Bombyx mori: one gene and its partner. The protein of the gene in region 2 interacts with the protein of the main gene of each other region in a pairwise test. Links are inferred from orthologs where the notes say so. Each region holds a gene or a part of one and is shown on either strand. Other genes may lie near its edges. The genes, in order: cleavage stimulation factor subunit 2 tau variant and protein suppressor of forked.

Evidence for each region.
Region 1: the proteins of protein suppressor of forked (region 2) and cleavage stimulation factor subunit 2 tau variant interact in a two-hybrid assay, tested with the Drosophila melanogaster proteins (2 studies listed by BioGRID). The link is inferred for Bombyx mori from reciprocal best matches to the Drosophila melanogaster genes su(f) and CstF64.

The regions. Positions count from the first base shown.
Region 1 is NC_085112.1:5,026,249-5,030,043, reverse strand, and holds part of cleavage stimulation factor subunit 2 tau variant, read right to left. Parts: coding exon 3,721-3,795; intron 3,427-3,720; coding exon 3,373-3,426; intron 1,595-3,372; coding exon 1,438-1,594; intron 1-1,437.
Region 2 is NC_085129.1:20,030,140-20,034,497, reverse strand, and holds the start of protein suppressor of forked, read right to left. Parts: upstream 3,011-4,358; 5' UTR 2,788-3,010; coding exon 2,758-2,787; exon of another isoform or gene 2,699-2,757; intron 1,206-2,698; coding exon 1,014-1,205; intron 482-1,013; coding exon 449-481; intron 1-448. Other genes in the region: U6 snRNA-associated Sm-like protein LSm2, read left to right, coding at 3,689-3,976. UniProt on the Drosophila melanogaster protein: Essential protein, may play a role in mRNA production or stability.

The DNA of each region.
Region 1 (3,795 bases), on a different chromosome or scaffold from region 2:
CAAGGAACGAATACCAGTACATATAACGAAATGGAGAATATTTTCCGGTCGCGTCAATTTAGCAGCTTCTTGACGGATTACACCCTGTATATAAAATAATAATGATAAAATATATAAACAAATATAGTTTATCAGGAGTCAGGGGTCAACATTACAACAATAACTACCATTCTCAAAGGTGCATATTACATTCGCATTTTGCCTTATTAAAAACATCTATTACACGGGTATTGATGTTATTGTTTCTGAACATTCTGCGTTCATAATGCGTTATGAAATCGTTCTTTTTAGAGTGACAAAATAATTTTGATTTGATTTTTTGCGGTTTTCAAGAAACATTTTAGAACTTAAAAAAAAACTGAAGGCATAGACTAGACGGCCGTATTATTTAAAGATTGTAAACTCATGAACTCATTTCTCACTCATTTAAAAAAAAAGTAATACCTACCTATTTATTTTGATCATTTACACAAATTAAAGAGCATTTTACATAGTAGTTTAAAAAGTTAGTATGGTAATTTTATTTATTTTAGATTTGAATTTATCTATGAATACACACGATTTTATAAATAACTTTTTCATATTCATGAATAATATTTCATAAAAATAAATAATTTATATAACCGCAAAACGTCAATAAACGCCAATCGATCCCTAAGAAACTGGACAAGGCTAATAACATCAAAGCCAGTTTGAAACAATAATATGTTTCATTCTACCTCACATATTAACAACATATTAGGCAGATGATTTTTTTATGGAACTCACTCTTCCGTCGTCTCCACAAAGAGGATCAAACTTGAAGAAAAATAATTCGATGCATTAGGTAGGTTAAAAGAATTTCCTGTTACTTATCGAAATTAATTTACGATATACCCGCTATTATACAAACGAAAATACCAATAATAATAGTGGTGAGGTGCCATTTTTACTTAATGTTTTTTTGCTTTGTAGTCAAATACAAGACTTCACTTGACCTTAGAAAAAATTTACATATTTAAAATTCATAGAATGTTTTCGTCGCTTCGAAATCATTTTGAAATTTGTTTTATTCATACAGCTATTTTTCATTTGATAAAAACCTATTTTTATCGTGAAAGAAGTTTTTTTCTTCTTTTATTCTTGAATTGCGAAAATTTTACATTTAATACCGAACGTACATAGTTAAGCAAGTACGAGAGAGGACCTAATGATGCAGACAAAGATATAATTTACTAAGTATCAACACTGATTAGGTCTCGCCCATAAATTGCTTCCCGGGCTAAACCGGACATCTTATCCTTTAGACCACGACGATTTTTAGCAAAATTTCAGCTGTCGTTTCAAACGTTTTTTCTTTTCCTACCTTTTTCCTACCTAAGCTGATAGCCTTGAGAGGCTATTTCAGCGTAACCTTAACTAGTAGGTGAGCTCAGAAGTCGTCCAATAAATACGTACGGATCTTGGGGATGATGCATCGGCGGCGGTACCGGGTGCGGGGCGACCGGCGGCAGACTGCGCATGTCCTGGTCGAGCAGCGCGGGCATGGCGTTAGGGGGCGCCGCGGGACCGGGAGCTCGCGACCCGCGAAGATCAACATCCATGGACGGACGGGCTGTTGGAGATTCAATTTAACGATGATTCAATGAAATAGGCTATTATACTGAGACCTCAGAACTCATATCTCAAGGTGGGTGGCGCGATTTACGTCATTACTGGTGGTAGGGCCTCTTGTGAGTCCGCACGGGTAGGTACCACCACCCTGCCTATTTATGCCGTGAAGCAGTAATGCGTTTCGGTTTGAAGGGTGGGGCAGCCGTTGTAACTATACTGAGACCTCAGAACTCATATCTCAAGGTAGGTGGCGCGATTTACGTCATTACTGGTGGTAGGGCCTCTTGTGAGTCCGCACGGGTAGGTACCACCACCCTGCCTATTTATGCCGTGAAGCAGTAATGCGTTTCGGTTTGAAAGGTCGGGCAGCCGTTGTAACTATACTGAGACCTCAGAACTCATATCTCAAGGTAGGTGGCGCGATTTACGTCATTACTGGTGGTAGGGCCTCTTGTGAGTCCGCACGGGTAGGTACCACCACCCTGCCTATTTATGCCGTGAAGCAGTAATGCGTTTCGGCTTGAAGGGTGGGGCAGCCGTTGTAACTATACTGAGACCTCAGAACTCATATCTCAAGGTAGGTGGCGCGATTTACGTCATTACTGGTGGTAGGGCCTCTTGTGAGTCCGCACGGGTAGGTACCACCACCCTGCCTATTTATGCCGTGAAGCAGTAATGCGTTTCGGTTTGAAGGGTGGGGCAGCCGTTGTAACTATACTGAGACCTCAGAACTCATATCTCAAGGTAGGTGGCGCGATTTACGTCATTACTGGTGGTAGGGCCTCTTGTGAGTCCGCACGGGTAGGTACCACCACCCTGCCTATTTATGCCGTGAAGCAGTAATGCGTTTCGGTTTGAAAGGTCGGGCAGCCGTTGTAACTATACTGAAACTCAGACTACTACAAACTACAACTTAGAACTCATATCTCAAGGTGGGTGGCGGCATTTACGTTGTAGATGTCTATGGGCTCCGGTAAACACTTAACACCAAGATGCGTCTTATATTACATGGAGTTGGCGAATGCTAAACATAGCGATACATTGCAGACTTGCAATTGAAGACATGAGTGGATGAAGGGAGTAAGTATCATTTTTAAGATTTAATGAAGGTGTTATGTGCCTATAAATCATATTAAAACTCCAGGTTTAAAAGCTTCTTTTTAGAAATTGCATGTGATGAAGGAGTTATGTACAAAAAAAAGTACAAGTAACAAAAGTTTGTTACCCTTTTTCTCAAAATTAACAAATTGTATCATATCCCCTTCATCCATTCATGTCTTCAATTACTTTGCGCTAATCTTTGATGACTCTCATTATATTGATGGTTTAGATGTTTTTTTTTATTTTTTCCTACCTCAGCTGATAGTCTTAAGGTGAGCTCACGGTGCTCGAACCTGGCGAAGTTGCAAACACTGGCCCTAGCAAGAGCAGTGCTTCGCAGAATCTACCACCGGATCGGAAACGCGATCCACTGAGAAGATCCGGCGAGAAACTCAGTAGGTTGTGTCTGTGGGTTCGTTTACTCGCCGAACCCTTCGTTGCAAGCGACGGGTTCGACGAGAACGATGACCGGTGCTTGAGATACCTAAAAGCACTGTTAGTGGATCTGGAGGATCCGTAATGACGTGAATTTATTTTTAATTGGCTAAGAAATGTATGAACATGGTGTGCAAGTCATAAATTAGTTGGTAATTAACATTGGAGATTAAGTCATTCAAACTATTAATAACAATCTACATAATAATATATATGTACGTACATATATAAATTAGTACTTACAATTGTTGTACTGGTTGGGTGGCGGTCCGGGATTATTGTGTATCGGTGGTTGTGCTAGATTTGTAAACAAATATAATCCTATATTATTTTATTTTGATTGACACAAAATTTTGTAGTTTCGGGTTAGTTGTCTTTTCAAAAATAGAATTATCCCACATGTATTCTTACTTTTTCTTGTACTTAAGCAATTTATTTTTATATAAAAACTTAGTCAAGCTTACTTACTTATTCAAACAGCTAGCTAATACCAAAACTTTGATTAGAGTTAATACTTGTTAGATAAATATTTACTTTACATTTTATACTAATATTATGTTAATTACATAGATTATTTTAACTAGTTATTACCTGGTGGTGGATTGGATGGTATATAAGTATTCGTTTGGGCTGGTTTATCACCCGGTAGTAAGATTGGAGGTACAG
Region 2 (4,358 bases):
GGATGTAGAACCTGGGTTCTCGTTTCAAAACGAATTAATTAATTCTAAGATTACTATTAAATATTAAAATGGGGTTATTTTACATGTCAAAAGTGACCTTCGAAGGCGAAATCGGTTTATTTCATATAGGGTAATTTTTTTTTTTATTTGCTCTCTTTTCCCCTTTCGCCATGGAAAGTCTCCTCCGTCATGTCTGAACACATAGACACCCTAACCGAAAAAAAAGATTATTTTCAATTCAGCAATTACACAGCTTTATTTCATTTAACACAACTAATTGTTTTTTATATAAAACTATCATAGACATTCTTTTGGAAATATCGTCTAGGTATGCCACGCACCAGCATACTGTAATTAAAATATAGTATTTGTCTATTTCTATTTTTGCCTATAGTTAATATCACAGATAGCTTTGTTTTTTTTAAACTTACTCTCTTTGTATACTGACCTTTTCGACTCTTTCAAAATTTCTCGCTTTCATCTGAAATTATTATAATATTAAATTATTGTTTAAATTAATTAATAACTACATTACATTAATCTTATCTCCTATCCTATCTTATCATAATCTTATCCTACATACTAAAATCTAAATTTTACAAGAAAGATTTAAATGAATCTTCATTTATTACGTGAAGTTTACTTAGAGAATATTATACAGTGAAACTAGTGGTCTCACAATATGGACATTGTCTTGAGGCAATGATAACCAGTTACCAGCCTCCATTATTCATTTGGACATATCATAAGGACACAGCATGAACTGCCCACTGCAGTTTGAAGGATTGCTCTTAAAAGGTTTGAATGGTGGGGCAGCAGTTGTAACTATACTTGAGAGCTTAGAACTTATATCTCACGGTGGGAGGCGCATTTACGTCGTAGATGTCTATGAGCTCCAGTAACCACTTAATACCAGGTGGGCTGGGAGCTCGTCCACCTATATAACAAAAAAAAAAAAATATACTCTTAAAAACCATGTCTAAGGAGGTACATTTAATGTTGCTTATAATTACCTCCTGTTCGATATATATTTTCCAGTAACGTCCTGTGGTCGGGAATGCCGTTATCAACTTCTCGTACATGGTTCGGACATCGTTGATGTTTCGGGCCTGGGCTTCTCTTACTAGCAATGACCAAGAGTCCACATCGTATATGTTGGCTTCGACTGCACGCTGGGCGCGGGATAGGCGTTCATTACCCCAATCCTAGCGAAAAACATGAAGAGAGACAAATATTAATTTGTTAAATAAAAAACAATACCTAATTTTATGGTAATTTTGCTAAACAATTCTTAAATTACACAATATATAATTTAGACGACTCATTTACATTGATTTTATGGGCTCTGGCAAAGTTTTGTAACAGTATTAATTGCAATCAATACAATATGTTCAATCACCATTCTATGTAATAAATAGATAGATGCATCAGCAAAACCCTTAATGTCTACATCTCAATCTATACAAATATGTACACACAATTTGAAGGGACTGGTCTAGGAAGATAACATAGATATAACTTATATCCTAGAACAATTATTGTAGTTTGTAAACTGCTTATTATTACTTCAAAATTAGTGGCAACATGACTGGAATTATTACTAAAAATTTCCAAAGAGATTGAAATCATTAATTTACCAGTAGGGTGTTTGATAAGTCCACATGGCTAAGTGTCAACACCAGTTTTTTCTGTGTTTTGATGTAATTAACAAAAAACTTGAAAAGTTAGACATTTCCGATTACTCTGTTTTCAATAACATTAAAATTTCTCTGAATTGTCTACTTATTTTCCTATCCTTTATTTATATATCCTTTACTCTATTTCATTTATAACTGCAGATGAGCGATTGGGCTCACAGTCTGCATGTGGTATTAAATATTTACTAGAGCCCATAATGAAATAAAAATCACTACAATACAATATAATACAATATATGTTTCATGAGATCAAGCTGTTGTACTTTTTATACATACATACAAACTTTTTATAAATAGTCTTAATTACATCTAAGAAGTTTACAGTTATAAAGTGTAATGAAGCTTCAGTGGGGTATCTAACTCATTATAATTTTTTTTTTATTGCTTAGGTGGGTGGACGAGCTCACAGTCCACCTGGTGTTAAGTTATTACTGGAGCCCATAGATATCTACAACGTTAATGCGCCACCCACTTTGAGACATAAGTTCTTAGGTCTCAAGTATAGTTACAGCGGCTGCCCCACCTTTCAAACCGAAACGCATTACTGCTTCACGGCAGAAATAAGCAGGGTGGTGGTAGCTACCCGCGCGGACTCTCAAGAGGTCCTACCACCAGTAAGAGGCTAAACAGCTAATTGGCGTTTTTAAAATATGGATTAGAGTAATTATATAGGATCTAGGTACTACAATTTGGTTTTTTCTTGAGAAATTGTAATGATCTTAGCAGACAGCTGGTTCCAGTGTAATCGCTTGTAATGTTGGTTTAGTGGTTGATTATTAGTTTACGTTACTACAGGTCGAAGTCAATGTTACTTAATGGCTTCCGGTTTTGGAGCGCAGTCACAACTCTCTCGTGTTTTCGGTATCTATAAAACTAAGGATCCTCTTTTTTTTTTCTAAATGACTATCTTGTTTAGAACTACACAACAATCGATTGCTAATACATGCACTTATATAAACGAATTACACAACATTCAGGAATATCAAATCAAAAAAGAAAACCTTTGTTCTTTTAGTTTTTAATTATATTCAATTAATGCGACTAATGCGTAAAAACTCACAATGTCGGCGATTTCATCTACAGATGCCATTTTGAAGTTTACGTTTGAGGTTATCTATCTGGTTTTAAGTCCGAGCAACAGTTTTTCGAAGAACTAAGTAAATGAGGTACTGATTGTTTGTGGACACATTACTCTCAGTGTTAAAATCGATTTAAAACAATAAAAAAACACAATTTTCTTTAAAAAATTAAACAACTCAACCAAGCTCAAACGGGATTAGCGGACGCTATAGATTATACATTTCGCTTTAAGGAATTTTATGACCTGGTAATTAAGATCTTTAAGTCATGTCTTATTTTAATTAATATTCTTATTTTTATGAAAAATGTTACAATTATGTAGTGAAATGACATGAAATGAAGATGATTAATTTTAGATATTAATCAACTGCGATGAAATTAAATTAAATTAGATGAGATGAGATGATATGAGATGACATATTCTCAGTAAAATGGTGGTCATTGACTGAGATTTTTTCAGTGGACTTTTTGGAGGATCTCGAGAAGCTATGTCCAGCGGCTTTATTTCATTTACCCACATTTGTACACTTTCACAGATATTAAACAGTCAATAAACCACCATTATCACATTAAATTAGATTACATTATTACATTTAAGCCTGAAGAAACACTAAATAGACAAAATAAAATAAATCACACAGCTTCACTCCTTACGTTCCCGCCAAAAAGTCCCGATTTGTTTTAAAAATTTAAGCACAGGTAACGAAAACGTAGTAAATGCAAGACATTGGAAATGAGATGGTGCTCCTGCACAAAACTAACAAAATTACGGAAAATACCGATTCACACCGCTACAAAAAGCTATTGGCATTGACATTTTATGATTTTGACTTTGAGTTTTAAATGACATTAATTGAAGAACCCAAGCCAAATTACTGTTTCAGCGCGTTTTCAAACAAACAAAACGAAAAATGTTGTTTTACTCGTTTTTCAAATCGTTAGTCGGTAAGGATGTAGTCGTCGAGCTGAAAAATGACCTCAGCATATGTGGGACGTTGCATTCTGTGGATCAATATCTCAATATAAAGCTTTCGGATATAAGCGTGATTGACTCTGAAAAGTATCCTCATATGTTATCAGTGAAAAATTGTTTTATAAGAGGCTCCGTGGTTCGATACGTACAACTGCCGGCTGATGAGGTAGACACCCAGCTTCTCCAGGATGCCGCTAGAAAGGAGGCGACCGTTTCAACAAGATAGAACTTAACCTAACCTACAACTTCAATTTAAAGTGTACATATTAATATAAGCTTAAGTTTCTTAATAAATCATTCTTATAATATAGTGTTTTAGTAGCGGTCTCCGGATATTCATTTCAGAAAAGAAAGTTTCCTTTGATCGAAAAATAACCTAGTTCTTCAGTTTTATGTAAGTTTTATACCAGAGTATGAAAGAATAATTTATCAATAAAAAACATCTATATTTTTACCATTCTCAAAAATGTATCACAGAAAAAAGTTTTTATTACCTTTCACATCAAACTATACTGATAATTATTAGACATAGCTGCATTCCTTAATACTTAAGCCTTTTTTCAAACCAGAATTGATTTAGATCTCTAGTGTACATAATTTGGATGTAA